Rattus norvegicus: one gene and its partners. The protein of the gene in region 3 interacts with the protein of the main gene of each other region in a biochemical or structural test. Links are inferred from orthologs where the notes say so. Each region holds a gene or a part of one and is shown on either strand. Other genes may lie near its edges.

Region 1 (5,351 bases), on a different chromosome or scaffold from region 3:
TGGGTTCCTTCAGGTGAAGATGTAGAATTCAGCTCCTCCTGCACCATGCCTCCCTGAATGCTGCAATGCTGTCATGCTCTCCCTTGATGATAATGGACTGAACCTCTGAACCTGTAAGCCAGCCCCAATTAAATGTTGTCCTTTATAAAACTTATATTGGTCATGGTGTCTGTTCACAGCAATAAAACCCTAACTAAGACAACTACCACATCTGGTTTATGCTGTGCTGGAGACTGAACACAGAGCCTTTGCCTGCTAGACAAACACAACCAACTGAACTATATCTCTAGCTCAGGATGTAGTTTTCTGCACTTGCTTATCACAACAAGTTCTTTAAATGGGTACATTGCCCCCAAGTCATCACATTCTCATTTCCTTGTTCTTTTTTTGTGATCAGTATAACTGCCACAGCATACAAACCTCTGCCAACTCACAGAGGACACAAAACCCCACTTCCAGACTTGACCCTGTGGGTAGCAGCAAATAGAGCATGTACTTTGTTCAGCCCTTGTTGCTGTCTTCCCTTCGGAGCACACATTCATACTGCAATAGAGTGAGAATTATTTTACAAAGTTCAAGGCTGCAGCAGTATTCTTCCTGCTGTCCATCCTTACCCTTGAAACATACAAAAATATCAAGCTACAAAATAAAAGACAAAAGAAAAATGTGTTTGATATTCATCTAGAGACAATGGCTTTTCTCTTTTGGGGGGACAGGTTTCCTCTATTTGACAATACGTTTTAACTAGATTATAACATTACATGTACAAACATCTGAAAAGAAGAGTGAGCTTAATGAACTATGAGATGTTAGACATTCCTATATTACTGAGGGGGAAAGAGATGGGTTAGAAGGAAGATGACCCCAAGTGGAAAGGGGATTTGTGGGTAAGAGTACCAGTTGCTCAGTATTGGCATTACTGCATTGAGTGATATGCACAAGGTCTCCTTCCTTATAAAGCGCACGTTTTAATGGAGAGAAGCATCTAATTGTTCATGCATATCAATAGAGGACTATAGATTTAAAGAATAAAATAAAATAAAGGACTATAGATTTATCTTGACATTACTAAAATTATTTTGAGTGGAAACTATCAAAATTATCCCTGAGTCACCATGGTCAGCTTCCCAGAATAAAATAGACAAATCACGAGAGAGTTGTCTGAAGCTTTATGACAAGACCTTGGCCTAAGGATGTACCTGACTCTGATTAGCTTGAAATAGACAAGAAATACTCTTAGTTGGGTGAAATCTGGTGATGCATGCTGGCCCCAAACTTGCACCACCATGCCTAGCTCTGAAATAACTTTCACCTGTTTATACCCCACATACCTTCTAACCCTAATCACAAGGACCTATGTGCTTTTCCTGATGCCCAGGCCAATGTATCTGTTGTAAGTCACCCATAAACTGCACACTGCAATTCTGGGCTTCCCTGCCTCCTCCTTTGATCTCATTGACCCGTGGGACCAGTTCCCATACATTGGAACAGGGGCGTTTTGTGACAAAAGCATATTCTATGAAAACAGTATTCTAGATATTGGAGAGCACAGTAAGCAGTTGTATTCCCTTGCTTTCAGACACAACATTCTCCTGAGGACCAAAAATAATACGTTTTAGAATCAAATGATAATAAATTAATATTATCCAAACTTCTTGTGATAGTGGAAATTATTTGCACTATATTTGTAATTATATCAATTGTAGATGTTGTGTTACTAAATTTAACTGTGTGGTTATTGCAAATAAGGAATTGGATTTTTTTAAGTCGAAGGACTTACTATATATAAAATGAAAGGTTTATTTAAAACTCTGTCCAAAGATCTGATTGGCTTAGCTTAGCCAACGAAAGACAACTTGCAGGATTGATTTCCCTGCTTCCAACATGTGGATCCCAAGGATTAGGCTCGGATCTTGGAGGGCTTCTCTCAGAACTTTTCCTCCTTTGACGTGTGAAAGTTCCAGGCCTTCACAACTGGTTTTAATAAATTCATAAGTGGTCTCGGACTCCTGCAGGTGTAGTCCACCAGCCCTTCCGCCCTCCGAAGGCGCAAAGCGCTCCTCCCGTCGCTAGGAGCCGCTGTCGCTCTCCCGGTCGCCGGAAGGCAGCGCGGCTTCCGCGTTCTCGTCGCGCATCCGCAGGTCTCCGCGCGCTCTTCCGGCCATTCATACTCCTAGTCTGTGGGTCTTTGGAGCCTGAATTCCGTGGACAGTTGGACTAGAAGGGAGACTGCGCCGCTAGGATGAAGCTCGTGAGGTGAGGAGGGTTACCTGGCTGGGGGAGAGCGGCGGGTAGAGAGTTTGGGCCAGCTTAGGAGGCCGGGCCGCTGTGCTCCCAGGGAGGCGGGAAAGCCGCGTGCGCGCGGCCTGCTAACGGCCTCCGGCGCCCGGGCCCCGCCGCGCCCTGCTCGTCGCCCAGAACCCTGGGCAAGGGACCGGCGCGTTCAAACCCCCTCCGGTCTTACAGGAATGAAGTGGCCAAGCCGTCTCTGTCCACTTCTCATCCGGCGACTTAAACGGAGCAGTGGTCCCTCCGTTTTCGTGGCGAGTCGGAGCACTTGCAGTGACGAGGATTTAGAAGTAGGATGGTTTTATCTGCAAATAACGACGCCGATTTGCAAGACGTTTTAGATTAAGTTCTCCTTAATTTTGACCGACCAAAGCATGTAACTCGTTAATGTAGGCTTCTGACTCAGGAAAGACAAAGTGTCTCTGGATGGGGCAAAAGGTAACAAGTTAATTTCTCCTGATTGCATAGATTATGTCGGAAGTGGAGCCTAACTAGAGTCTTGTTTGCTGGTTTGATTAATTCCAAACTTACAGACTTGTGGCCAAGTCTGGGGCAGGGTATATAATATCTAAGCCAGTTTTTAGAAATATTTAGTTTCTTGTGTCAAGACCTGTTGTAGTTGACCAGAATGCCTTTGGACACTTTAAAGTGCTTCCCAAGTGCTAGATTACAAGCATACATTTTTCTTGGTTTTGCTCATTAGAAAGTAAATTACTATTTGTGTGTGCTCGTGCACAGGTATGTTATAAGACAATTTTTGGTAATTTGTTTTTGCCTTCCACCAGGGTCTCAGGGATTAAAACTCAGGTCCTCAGCCTTTACAGCAAGTACTTTTTACCTGCTGAGCCAACTTGATGGCCCTGCTCAATATTTTAGTCAATTAATTGATTTTGTTAGTGGTAATGATTGGTTTTGGGGTGAGAGAGTGCGCGAGTGTGCTCCTTGGTTGGCTTGGTGCTCACTGTGTAGACCAGGCTGGCCTTGAATTCACAGAGATCCTCCTGCCTCCGCCTCCCTAGAGCTGTATTAAATGATGCACTACCATGGTTTGATTTAGTTTGGGTTTTGAGATTATATTTATGTGCAGGGTGGAGGGTGCCACAAATTAGGCAGAGGCCGGAGCATCTATGTAAATTCAAGTCCATCCTGATGAATTCCAGGATAGCCAAGGCTACACAGAGAAATCCTGTCTCAAAAAAAAAGAGTTGCATTTATTTATGGGGGAAGTTTGTGTGCACAAAGATGAAAGGACCCGTAGGAGGAGTCGGTTCTCCATTATTGGGATCCTCAGACTTGGCAGCAGCAAGCGTTCACCCTCTGTGCATATATACCGGCTTGCTGTGCTTCTTCCCAACACCCCTCCCCCACCGTTTTTTCTTTTTTTGCATAGATAGAAAATTGGGAGATTGTTAATTGTTACTGGTGAGGGCCTGCATAAATGGGTTTGTAACGGCAGAAAGTTGAAAACATCATTCACAGTGGGGTAGTTGACATTTCCATATAGTAGATTACTATCTAGCTCTTGGAATATTTATTTTTAGGGAATTATCCCCAGTGTAAACTGCTAAATAAGCTCCAAGTACTATTGATGCCATTAAAGAATAGCCTACTTTGTGTAAAGTAGAATCTTACATGTATGCTTGTGGGTTAGAATAATATCCCTGTTTACCAAAATGCAGGAAAAGAGAAGTTCTTTATTTCTACCATGTAATCTTATGCTATCAATTAGAATTCTATTTCCTTTTTGTGTCTGAAAATTAGTCTAGGGTCTTTTGTTTGTTGAGACAATTTCACTGTCACTATGTAAAACAGGCTGGCCTCCAATTCACAGAGACCCATTTGTCTGTCTAGCAAGCACTGGAATTAAAGGATGCACCACCACTCCCAGTGCTACTCCAGGATCTTGAGATATCTTCATTTAAGGTTGTTTTGTAATAGTCTCTTTCTAGTATTCTCTAGTCGGAAGCTCAGGACAGCCCAAGTTTACAGACTCGGGTGAAAGCTTATTTGAGTGCTCTGCAGCCTGTGAGCTGCAGGTGGACCCAGTAACGTCCAAAGATGCCAGAGGAAAGTTTATTGCTTCATTCTTTTATAAGTTTATGAGTTTGGTTCAGAAAAAGTTAAGCACTGTGTATTTATTATGAAGAATTATTTTTAAGATGTTTATTTTATGTGTGAATGTTTTATCTGCATGTATGCATCACAAATTTGCCTGGTGCCTAAGGTCAGCGTAGGCCTCCAGATCCTCTGGGAGCAAAGATAACAAATGTTTGTGAGCTTTCGTGTGAGTTCTGGGACTCAAACTGGGTCCTCTGCAAGAGAGGGGAGTGCTCTGCACTGCTGGTTAGCTATCCAGACCCCATATGAACTGTTGTGGCATTTTAAAGATTTTGATCTCTAGCATTTTTACTCTACCGACTTCATCAAAAGACTTAAAATGTTAAGGTAAAAAATCAGGACTTTATTTCTTTTTATAGATTTTTGATGAAATTGAGTCATGAAACCGTAACCATTGAATTGAAGAATGGAACGCAAGTCCATGGAACAATCACAGGTGAGAAGACTGTTTCTGAAATGTTTTTGTTTAAGGTTTTTTGTTTGTTGTTTTCTTCCTTGTGTTTGTTTAATGAGCGTTGTTCTTTTTGTTTCATTCTTTTTGTCTGAATTACTGAATGGAACTTAATTAAACCTCATCTTTTTAAAACATTTTATGTACATTAATGTTTTGCCTGCATGTATGTCGGTGTAAGCTATTGGATCCCTGGATCTGGAGTTACCCTGGAGCTGTGAGCTGCCAAGTGGGTGCTGGGAATTGAACCCAGGTCCTTTGGAAGAGCAGCCAGTGCTCTTACCTGCTGAGCCCTCTCTCCAGCCTGACTCCTCTTACATTCTTTTTTTTTTTTTTTTTTTTTCTCGGAGCTGGGGACTGAACCCAGGGCCTTGCGCTTGCTAGGCAAGCGCTCTAACACTGAGCTAAATCCCCAACCCCCTCCTCTTACATTCTTGCACTACAACTAAACCAAATTGCTGGTGCTGCTCCTGTTTTCTTGCCTTGTGTACCT
Region 2 (5,351 bases), on a different chromosome or scaffold from region 3:
TATGTGTATCTGTGTTTCAGGGCAGACCATCGGGTACTGGTTAACCAAAGGTGCTCTTTCCTGGGAAGACTGCTTCTCCCACTCTCAGCATCCTTAGTTGCCTGTGTGCAGGGTGGAGCTCTGGGAGCTTTCCCCTACCCGTGTCTACTGGTCTCATCTTTGTCCAGCTCATGATCAGGCAGTTATGTTGGTGAAACTGTCTAGCTGGGACCTCTGACACTTCTAAGAGACACAATGGCACAGAAAACTGTTACTTAGGCTCCTACATTGTTTCCACTCGCTCTTCTGCAGAGATCCTGAGCCTCAGGTGTGGGAGTTGTATTGTAGATGTTTCTGTTGGTACTGGGCTCCACAGCTCTGCGTGTTGACTGGTTGTGGTTTTCTGGAATGGTCTCCATCTGTTACAAAGAGTTTCCTCGATGAGGACTGAAACTGGACTTGTCTGTGGGTCTGAGGACAGATATTTAGAGTAATTAATTATCATGTATTTAAGTATCATAGTAATTAAGTATCATGCTGGTTTCATAACATGGTGGTTGTTGCTTTTCTTCCAAGAGCCACACTTAACTGACACCGAGCAGTTGGCTGGGTTTCTGGTACTTAGTATGATTCCCCTCTTGTCGAGCAGGTTTTAGGTCCAATTAGAACGCTGTTGGTTACTGCCGAGGCATACACACCATTACTGCTCTGTGAGGATTATTGTGCCGTGCTGGTCACTGTCGTGGTCCATAGGTCTCATAGCTAGGTAGAACTATCCGTTGTTTTCCTCCGTTGGAAGCTTGCATAGCATCTTCTGGAATCATGAAAGCTGATCCCTCAGGGAGGAGGCTTTCAGCTAAGTTCCAGTCAGGGGCCTCTGGACCCTGCGTTTAAGTATATGGTGTCTTCAACCGTAGGAACTTACTTTTCACCTATGAAGGTCAGCCAAGGGCAATAGCAAGAGCCTATAATATATTGATAGTCGTCTCTTGGACAACCTTCGCCAGCAACTTAAAGGGGTGTATTCACGCCTGGTCTTGGGATTTTTGTTAGACGGTTGATGGCTCTTAAAGAAGCACTGTTAGCCCAGGTGGGAAATTTTCATCTCTAGTATTTATGTCTATGTATACGCCAACTTATATGTGTAGTAGACATGTGTTGTTGCTGGAGTTTAGGCTGTTGTGGGGGAGCGGAGGCAGTAAAGGCTGTCTCTGCAGCTGGGTTGTTCACACACACACATACACACACACACACACACACACACACACACACACACACACACACACACACACACACTGCTATCTCCAGCTAGCCGCTGACTTATGTTTTTGAGGTATTAGGGGGAAACCAGACTGTACACTGTAGGACTTTGACCACTAAAGACAGCTTTGTCAGTTTCTATCACCCAACGGTTTTGAACTGCGGGAAGGGGGTTGGGGGAGGGGGTGTTAACAACCCGTGTCCGAAGTTAGGTTAGTTACCCGTACTCAATATGCCAGTAAAAATAGCCAGATTAATCATGGAAAGACGAAAATGGAAAACGGAGAATTATAACGGAGAATTATTCAACATAGTCACATTACTGACTTGGAGCACTGGCTTTGACTCCAAATTCGATGACACACCACGTTTTGTGGTGGCACGTAGTTTGTTTTGATCCTTTATCCGGGTTCCTAGCGGATTGGCTTTAAAGACTATCCTTAAATCAAAGCAGCAATTCTCCAGGCTGCTGAGTTACTCATTAAGAGATGCTGTAGTGCAGGTGCAGAGGGCGATCTGGAAAACCGTGTGATGGGGAAGAGCGAAAGTGATGGAGCCCAGAGGCTGTGACTGTGTGACAGCCGGGTGGGCTCTATATGCTCTCGGGTCATTTCACACTGCGGTTGGGGAGTCCCGGGTGCCTAGGAACGCTCAGTGGCCAGTCTGGCCTAAGGCTCTTCTAAACCAGCGCTTGAGGTCAGATAGGGCTGGAAAGCCTGCGGTCCGGAACAACGCAGGTGGGCGTGTCGTCCGGCGCTGCCCCTGCGCCGCCCCGCCCCCTCGGTCGCAGCGCCGCGCCGATTGGCTCGCCCGCAGCCTGTCAGCCGTCACGTGTCGGAGCGTCCCGGGCGCCTGGCTGTGGGCGGCCCGGCATGGACCCTCAGGCAGCCACCGGTCCGGGGCCGGGCGAGCCGAGTGCATGGGAGGCCCCCAGCGCGGAGGTGAGCGCCACGGGGTGGGGGATGCGGGCACCCGCGACCACCCGGGCTGGAAGTCGAGGGGCTCGAGCGCTCCGGAGAGACCGCTCACCCGGGAAACGCCGGGGCCGCGCGAGTGCGCGCAGAGCCTGTCCGGTAACGGCGGTGGGCGCGGAAACGCGCGTGGACCCGAGCCCTAGGCTGTGGCTGGCGCGGGAGGGAGAGAACACCGGGGCTTCTCGGGAGCTCCTGCGGGAGTGAATGCAAAGAACGCGGAGCTGGCCGCCCCGAGCTGGTTCCAGCAGCAGGGGGCCGGGTCAGGCGGGAGCGGCGAGGAAACATCTTTTTTTTTAACCTTACCTTGAGGACCTCTGGCCATTGATAGGGATGTGCCGCTGATGTCACCCGTGCTTTTCCCCATTTGACAAAACGAAAGAGCCCGTCGTGTTACGGGGTTTCCAGAAACTTGTTTTCAAGTGCCCGCCAATGCAGCCTTTTCCCACGACCTGCCCTTATTGCGTCTACCTCTCCAGTGACTTCTTGACTGTAGGCATCCTTTTTACCAGAAGCCACGCCTGTACCTGGCACAACGTATATGCTAATTGGGTGTATGAGTGGAATGCTTACTTGGACATCAGTACTTGTACCATCAGATGGTACTTGAAGCGACAGCACCAATAGATTTGCAAAGAAAATTACTTTTGCAAAATAGAAAGTCAGGGCGGAGCTGGAAAGGATGTTTTTGGGTGAGAAGGTAGGCCCAGCAAAGGTCTGGATATGAGAAAGTACGGGGCAAATGGCCTTGGAGCTTGGGTCGGAGGGCAGGCCTTTTTCAGGAAGAGGACTGTGTTCAGCAAGTTGAGGAACGTGAGAGGCAATATGGATGCCATCGCCAGTCTGTGATGGCAGCAGAGGGCCTGTGAAGGTTTTGAGTGGAGGAGTGATTACACTTGCTAAGAGTGAGCAGGAGTAGAGAGATGGGCATAGGTTCACATAAGACGTTCAGCTCCTAGGGGGGCAACAGTGGCCCATGGTTATCACTGACTACAAGAGATGAATTGAGCTGTTAAAGCTCAGGAGTGACTAGATAATGAACGCTAATTTGGGTGAGTGCTAAGTACAGTTTACATGCAGGATGAAGGGTGCTTAAGGCCGGAGAGACAACCTTGGTGGTCTTACAGAGTTCGGCTTAGTTCTCCGCACCCACAACAGATGTCTCAGCCCTCTGCAACTCCCTCTCCAGGGATCCTCCTGGTAGATTCGCACATACAATTATATACAAATAAAGTAAATATATAAATAAATAAATAAGTGGATTAAAGTCAAAGAAATGTTACCTCCTTGAAGTCTTAACAGGTGGTTTTGTTATTGTTGTTGGCTTTATTTTATTGTAATTTTTTTTTTTTTGAGATAGGGTCTCATGTAGCCTAGGATCTGAGCTCACTTTGTGGCCAAGAATGATCTTAAATTTCTGACCCTTCTGCCCCTCCCTCCTAGATGCTGGGATTCTGAGTATGACCCACCTGTAGTATGTTATGTAGGGTTGGAAAGTCAGTGTGGAGCTTTGTGCACACAGGGCAAACACTCTCCCACTGAGCTCTGTCTCCAAGCCATAGTGGATGTTTTATGAATGTCCCTTCATCATAGGACCCCTCCCAGGACATAACAACCATTTCTGTTTCTAGAGGTCACACCCTGAATGAATGGCAGGGCTAAGACTGAATGAACTCTGCCTGACCATCCACGCTCTGGACATTACGGGTTCCACTGCAGAGAGATCTTGGGGGGAATAAAGTTTGGGGAACTTTGAAGTAACAGGGCATAACATTCCTGGTTGGCAGTGGGGATTAGGTATTCCTTCCAGTGTTTAGAACTCAGGCGGCTTCCCCCATGGACCACTGCGGGCATGGCTTTGTTAGGAGTTGTTAGACATTGAGACAAAGAACTGAAAAAGGCAAAGGTTTGCAGAGAAGTTGCAGGATCGGGAAACAGCAGTCAATCCTAGCCAAGAAGAAGAGAGATGAAGTTAGGGCAGTTGAAGTGTTCATAAACTTAGAGGAAAGAGTTTCCACAGACCTGAGGTTACAAACTGAGTCCAGGGAGCTGTCCCATCTAGCCTCAGGGTCTGTGAGCTTGGGGAAGTCCTGCTGCCCAGACTTCTGAAGAGGGCCCAGGGGTGAGAGCAAAGCCAGCATCTGTCAGTTGGCCACTGCAGGAGGGCACACCCAGTGGTCAGAGCGGAGAAGTGCTGCTGGGTGATGCCTTGCGCAGGGCAGTATGGGAGGGAGGGTTTGGGGCTTCAGAGCAGTGACACGCCCCACATACCCAGTTTCCTGGTGATTATTTCTTCTTCCACAGGCTGGTCTTGCCACAGCTGACCTCTCTGGTGGGGAGACAGAGACTGAGCTAGACGTGGACCGACTAGGCAAGTAGACGGTGGAGACTGGGGTGTCCCCTGGAAGAGATGGAGGGAAACAGCACGGTCCCTCTGTCTTGTCTGTCTTCTCGTGTTGGCCAGCCCTCTTTGCCCATTGTCTGAGTGGAACTGTTGGTTTGCAAGCTTCCAGGAGGTACTGGATGCCCGTGGATCCAAACCACCCCATTTCACTGGGAGGAACAGCTTGAGACTATGAAAAGCATCTGGTGTGTGAAGCTAGGAAAAGTCTCCGTTACACATCCAGGTTGAGTTAGAAGATCTGTAGTGATGCTACCCAGGATACTCGCCACCGTGTAGTTCCGTGATGCTCTGCTCCATCCTGGAGGAGAGTCCTAACAGGCAGTGCTGGTCTGTACAACCTGGGCACAGAATGGGTACGGCCAGAGCCGGTGCCGAGTGCACACTGTATTTCAGGCACAGATCCAGCTGTCCCCCCCCCCCCCAAATAAACTCACAACAACCTGATGACTGTTTCACCAATGAGAAACTTAAGGTGCATAGTAAAGTCTTAAAATGCAGCAAAAGACATATAACTTGTGTTTACCATTAAACTAAATTACAGCATATGATCTGGTTCATTCAGCTCCATGACAGTGTGTACAACTGTCACAACTACGGCTAGGATGTTTTCATGGCTCCAGAAAGAAGTCCTGTACCTGGAATAAACACTTTCCACTCTCTAGTTCTTGAGCCCCTATTGATAGCTTCCCCCACCCCTAATAATTTACCTATTATGCACATGCAAGTGTGAATTTACA
Region 3 (5,260 bases):
TAATCTCACTAGTCATGTCCAAATATTGCCTGGTTCAGGTCTCTCTAGACGACCAGTTCAGCCTATCCAGTCCCCAAATACGATTCTCCCTGACCTCTACCCACTGCAGGGACAAAACGATGAACGTCGTCATTGTTGTCATTATTATTATTATCATTATCATTAATTATTTTCTCCTGGCTCCTTGTTAGTTAGTCCCTGAATTCTGTCAATGTCTCCTGTCGTGGATATCGTGATTAGTTTTTGTTTTGCTTTTGTTTTTGCTTTTTTAAGTCAGTGTAATACAAGGCGAATTATTTGGGAAGAGGGAACTTCAGCTGAGAAAAGAACTCCGTCAGATTGGCTGGAGGGCCCTCAGTATCTATGGGCTTGTTGTCTTCAGGGATGTGTTTCCCTTTTCCCTTCCTAGGTCTTTCCTTGCCTCTGTAATTTCCTTTTGCTCGTGCGAGCAGCTGTTAAGAGTGGGAAATGCAGGTTCATGGTTCCTGGGCACTGTAATTTCTGGTGAATTTCTTTTCTCTGAGGTGTGTGCGCACGCGAAGATATTTACTTACATTCGTGTTTGGGACAGAATCAGTAGGAATTAGTGGGTGATTTACTACAGTCTATTTTTTAAGTGTAGCAAAACAATGAGACAAAACTCATTTTAATAGTCCAGTCACCAAAATTTTCATACTCAGAATAACTTGATTATATACAAAACAGCTTTGAAGAGAGGAATGAGAAAGGCCAGCATTAGATGGGTGCAAAATCGAACCAAGACCTGAAAACCACAGCGTGAAAGAAATAGCAGAGGATATAAAAGAAAGACGTTTTGAAGTAGCAACATTGGGAGATGATTAGATTAGCAAGGGATGCAAATAAAGGAGTACCAGTCCCAACGAGCCAGCCAGGAGTCGAACCTGGAATCTTCTGATCCGTAGTCAGACGCGTTATCCATTGCGCCACTGGCCCGCAGACATTACAGGCCGGCCCAATAATGATACTTCAGACTTATCCCGCAGGGCTGCATGGGACCTGTAGTCTCACTAGAGCGCTACAGATGGACTGGGCATTCTGGGAGATTGCAGAGCGTCAGCAACGAGAGCCTGTCATTGGTAGAGCAAGGGTGCCACGCCCATGTCACTGTGCGGTCTGCGGATTGGTGGGAGCAGCGACTTGGTCCCTCCACCTCCGCTTTGGGGCTGTAAAGACGCTCTGGTTGTTAAGGCGACTTGTCCCGCCTCCCCGGGACTGTTCTCCGCTTTGTGATTGGCCTCTAATAGCAAGGAATCCCGGCGTGGGCTGCGCGAGGGAAAAGATGGCGGCGATGGCAGTCGGAGGTGCTGGTGGCAGCCGCGTGTCCAGCGGGAGGGACCTGAATTGCGTCCCTGAAATAGCTGACACACTGGGTGCTGTGGCCAAGCAGGGGTGAGGGCCGGATTTCCTCCAGAGGAGTGCGGGATCCAAATTTGGGGAACAAGGAGGGCAGACTAGTACCTCGCAGGGGATGAGGGATTGAGACACCATTACTCCTTGAGTGGGGAAGACTTCGGCCCCAAGAACGAGAGGTTGAAACTCTGGGGGGCGTGTGGTCACGGAGTTCAAAAGTCAGGGGAGTTACAGGGCAGATTTAAAAAGGGATGTACAGTAGGCCTTGGAGACGGATTATTTGAGAGTAGAGAGAAGTATAAGGAGGCGAGCGAGAGAAGAGGTTAATCTGGCTTGAGGAGGCATGGGCAGTGTTGGGACAGGTCTAAATTTGACAGTCCTGGAAAGCCAGTGAAGTCAGGGAAGAAAGAAATCTACTTGACTTCTATGTCCATTTCTTGCTCATCGGTTCATGATTGTGTTTTGGGAAGAAATTGATGCACAGTGTTGTGAAAGTGATGTGTCCCAAGATGGGCTGAACTCAATAGCCCGTGGGGTGACTGATGATGGCTTTATGGAACTGTGCAAAATCAAGATATTAATATCCCAGTTGCTTGGATCTCTGGGCCCTTACTTTACATGATGATTCTGGGTCTGTCACGGTTGTAGGTTTGATTTCCTCTGCATGCCTGTCTTCCACCCGCGTTTCAAGAGGGAGTTCATTCAGGAACCTGCTAAGAATCGGCCTGGCCCCCAGACACGATCAGACCTACTGCTGTCAGGAAGGGGTAGGGACCTTACCCTGTGCCCCTTAATTATTAGAGGCAGTAATATCTTCTGCTTTATAGGACTTAATTTTCCTCCTCTGATTTGGTTATATATTGGCTAGCCCCTATGACATAAATAACAACTTTTTTTCCCCTTTCTTTCTAAAAGTTGCAGTCCCCCCATTCTTCATCAGGCTATCCCTCTATCAGAGAGAAAAAAGTCTTGCTTTTCACCTCTTTACTCTCTGCTGAGAACTAGAAGTTGAGCAAGAAAATGCCAAACCCCATTGAATCTTTGTCTTTTCTTGGGTGGGGGAGTGCAGACTGGAATACGCTAATTGTGGGAAAGCTTTCTCCATGGATTCATCCAGACTCAAAAGTGGAGAAGATCCGAAGGAACTCTGAGGCGGTAAGGCAGTTTAATTTCTCTGTGGGATCCCTTTAAAAGTTAGGCCTGACCTGGGTATTGTGGCACCTATCTGCAATCTCAAGCATCTGGGAGGCTATTCCCACATCTGGAAGATAATGAGGGAGGACTGAGAATTCCATGCGGGGAAAAGAAAAGGACATAAAGTAATTCTGTCACTAAACTAGGTTAGGAGAGTAACCTGGTAAATCATAGTACAGTTAAGTGTCTGAAGAAATGTGTGATGGCTTACATCTATAATCTCAACAGAGGTACATCTCCAACTCAGCGAATCGCTGAATTCCAGACCCTGTTTCAAAAGAGGAAACGTTTGGCTCTGGTGGAGTATGGCAGCTTACAGCCGTAATCCTAGCATTCTGGAGAGTGAGTGAGGACTCCTTCAGATTCCAAGTCAAGCTGACTTATGGAGAAAATTCCAGAACAGCCTGGGCCACAGTGTCAGAGCCAGTTTCTACTCTACCTTACCCCAGAAGTATTTGGTTCTTAGCTCTTAATGGTTTTCTTTCATCCTATGTTTCAGGCTATGTTGCAGGAGCTGAATTTTGGGGCATATCTAGGTCTTCCAGCTTTCCTATTGCCCCTTAATCAGGAAGATAACACAAATCTGGCCAGAGTTCTGACCAACCACATCCACACTGGCCACCATTCTTCCATGGTATGACTGAGGGTTCTTTCCTACTGTGTATCACGCTAGCTGTACCTTTTGCCCAGTTATGCTCCCCCCGCCCCCCGCCACGTGCATTTGGCAGAATTGAAATGTCAGTACTGTTCTTCCCCCACCCCGTCTAAAAGCGGTGTGCAGAGAGTTTCAGAACATAGCTTATGGGGCTAGAGATGTGGCTCAGTGGTAGATCACTTGCCTAGCACACAGGAGCCTCTGGGTTTGAGTCTTAGTACTATAAAACTAAAGATAGAGAAAATACTTAATTATTTCTATTTAAAGTAAAAGACAAGCTAAGTCTTTGTATAAGGATATGTATGAGATCAAACACGTGTAATCACATTTAGAAAAGCATATAGGGCTGGAGAGATGGCTCAGTGGTTAAGAGCACTGACTGCTCTTCCAGAGGTCCTGAGTTCAAATCCCAGCAACCACATGGTGGCTCACAACCATCTGTAATGAAATCTGATGCCCTCTTCTGGTGTCTGAAGACAGCTACAGTGTACTTCTATATAATAAATATAATAAATAAATCTTTAGAAAAGCATATAAAGAGATTAACTTCTGGACCCACTGAGTTCGAAACAGCGCTTTAACAGGGTACCTGTTCATATTTAGTTCTGGATGAGGGTCCCCTTGGTGGCCCCAGAGGACCTGAGAGATGATGTAATTGAGAATGCACCAACTGCACACACAGAGGAGTACAGTGGAGAGGAGAAGACGTGGTTGTGGTATGTCTCTCTTGCTGCTTTACCTGCACAGGGCGGGGTGAGGACTATGGGGAACGGATTTCGAGTGTTCCTTGAGTTATAAGCCATATGCATTTGACAGGGTCTTTCTTTGTTTCTGATTCTGGGCAGGTGGCATAACTTCCGGACTCTGTGTGACTATAGTAAGAGGATTGCAGTAGGTAAGTCCACAGGGTTCTGAGATGTAAGTGGCCTCCTGGGAATGAGAATCAGCAGGCTGGGCATGGTGGCCCACCACATTTCATTTCAGAACTTGGGAATTGGAGGCAGGCAGATCTCTGGGAGTGTAATTAACGCTACCCTGGTCTATATAATGAGTTCCAGGATAGCCAGGACTATGTAGACAGACCCTATTTTTTAAAAAAACAAAAACAAAAACAAAAAGCAAGCCAAGCAGTGGTGGTGCACACTTAGGAGGTAGACGCAGTCAAGTCTCTGCAAGTTTGAGGCCAGCCTGGTCTACAGATTGAGTTCCAGGGCAGTTAAGCCTATACAGAGAGACCTTGTCTCAAACAAAAGTTAGAATCAGCAGTTTAGAAAGTTCCAGGACTGGCCTTATGGACCCCTGCACACACATGGTACACACGTGGTATATGTGCACATATACACAACACACACACACACACACACACACACACACACACACACACACACAAAGTAAATCTATGAAAAGGAACCATTTCATGAGGCTGGGGGTGTAACTCAGGTGGTGGAATCTAGATCAGGTCTAGATGCAGGAAGCCCCTGAGTAAGACCCACAGTGCACATGCAGTCAGATGTCATGGCGTATGCCTGCAATTCCAGCCTTAGGAGGTGGAGGCAGGAGGATGAGAGTTCACGGAAAGTTCAGTGCTATATTGGGTTACCTGAGACCCACTCTGAAAATACAACCAGGTGGCCATTCTGTTTTCATATACCTTTAATCCCTGAACATGGGACGCAGAGGAAGGTGGGTCTCTGTGACTTCTAGGCCATACAGACTACAGTAAGAATCTGTCTGAGAAAAGGAAAACAAAGTGAGTTCCATGTGTATCCTAGGTGTCTTGACTGCTTTCCCTGTGCTCAACAGAAGGAAGAAGAATTGCACCCAGTAGGGCAGGCTCCCTGCTCACCCACAGGTGATCTTTCTCTTCCTTTGTGTAGCTCTTGAAATCGGAGCTGACCTCCCGTCTAGTCACGTCATTGATCGTTGGCTTGGAGAGCCCATCAAAGCCGCCATTCTCCCCACCAGCATTTTCCTAACCAACAAGAAGGGGTTTCCTGTTCTTTCTAAGATGCAGCAGAGGCTGATCTTCCGGCTCCTCAA

What was found.
Region 1: the proteins of Prmt5 (region 3) and Snrpd1 form a complex in vitro, tested with the Homo sapiens proteins (2 studies listed by BioGRID, with this or other methods). The link is inferred for Rattus norvegicus from reciprocal best matches to the Homo sapiens genes PRMT5 and SNRPD1.
Region 2: the proteins of Prmt5 (region 3) and Coprs form a complex in vitro, tested with the Homo sapiens proteins (3 studies listed by BioGRID, with this or other methods). The link is inferred for Rattus norvegicus from reciprocal best matches to the Homo sapiens genes PRMT5 and COPRS.

Annotation. Positions count from the first base shown.
Region 1 is NC_086036.1:1,967,549-1,972,899, forward strand, and holds the start of Snrpd1 (small nuclear ribonucleoprotein Sm D1), read left to right. Parts: upstream 1-2,125; 5' UTR 2,126-2,242; coding exon 2,243-2,256; intron 2,257-4,766; coding exon 4,767-4,843; intron 4,844-5,351. UniProt on the Homo sapiens protein: Plays a role in pre-mRNA splicing as a core component of the spliceosomal U1, U2, U4 and U5 small nuclear ribonucleoproteins (snRNPs), the building blocks of the spliceosome.
Region 2 is NC_086034.1:82,421,395-82,426,745, forward strand, and holds the start of Coprs (coordinator of PRMT5 and differentiation stimulator), read left to right. Parts: upstream 1-2,085; 5' UTR 2,086-2,111; coding exon 2,112-2,180; intron 2,181-4,514; coding exon 4,515-4,581; coding exon of another isoform or gene 4,582-4,585; intron 4,586-5,351. UniProt on the Homo sapiens protein: Histone-binding protein required for histone H4 methyltransferase activity of PRMT5.
Region 3 is NC_086033.1:31,944,339-31,949,598, reverse strand, and holds the start of Prmt5 (protein arginine N-methyltransferase 5), read left to right. Parts: upstream 1-1,286; 5' UTR 1,287-1,300; coding exon 1,301-1,410; intron 1,411-2,019; coding exon 2,020-2,138; intron 2,139-2,440; coding exon 2,441-2,526; intron 2,527-3,064; coding exon 3,065-3,199; intron 3,200-3,823; coding exon 3,824-3,936; intron 3,937-4,065; coding exon 4,066-4,115; intron 4,116-5,097; coding exon 5,098-5,260. UniProt on the Homo sapiens protein: Arginine methyltransferase that can both catalyze the formation of omega-N monomethylarginine (MMA) and symmetrical dimethylarginine (sDMA), with a preference for the formation of MMA.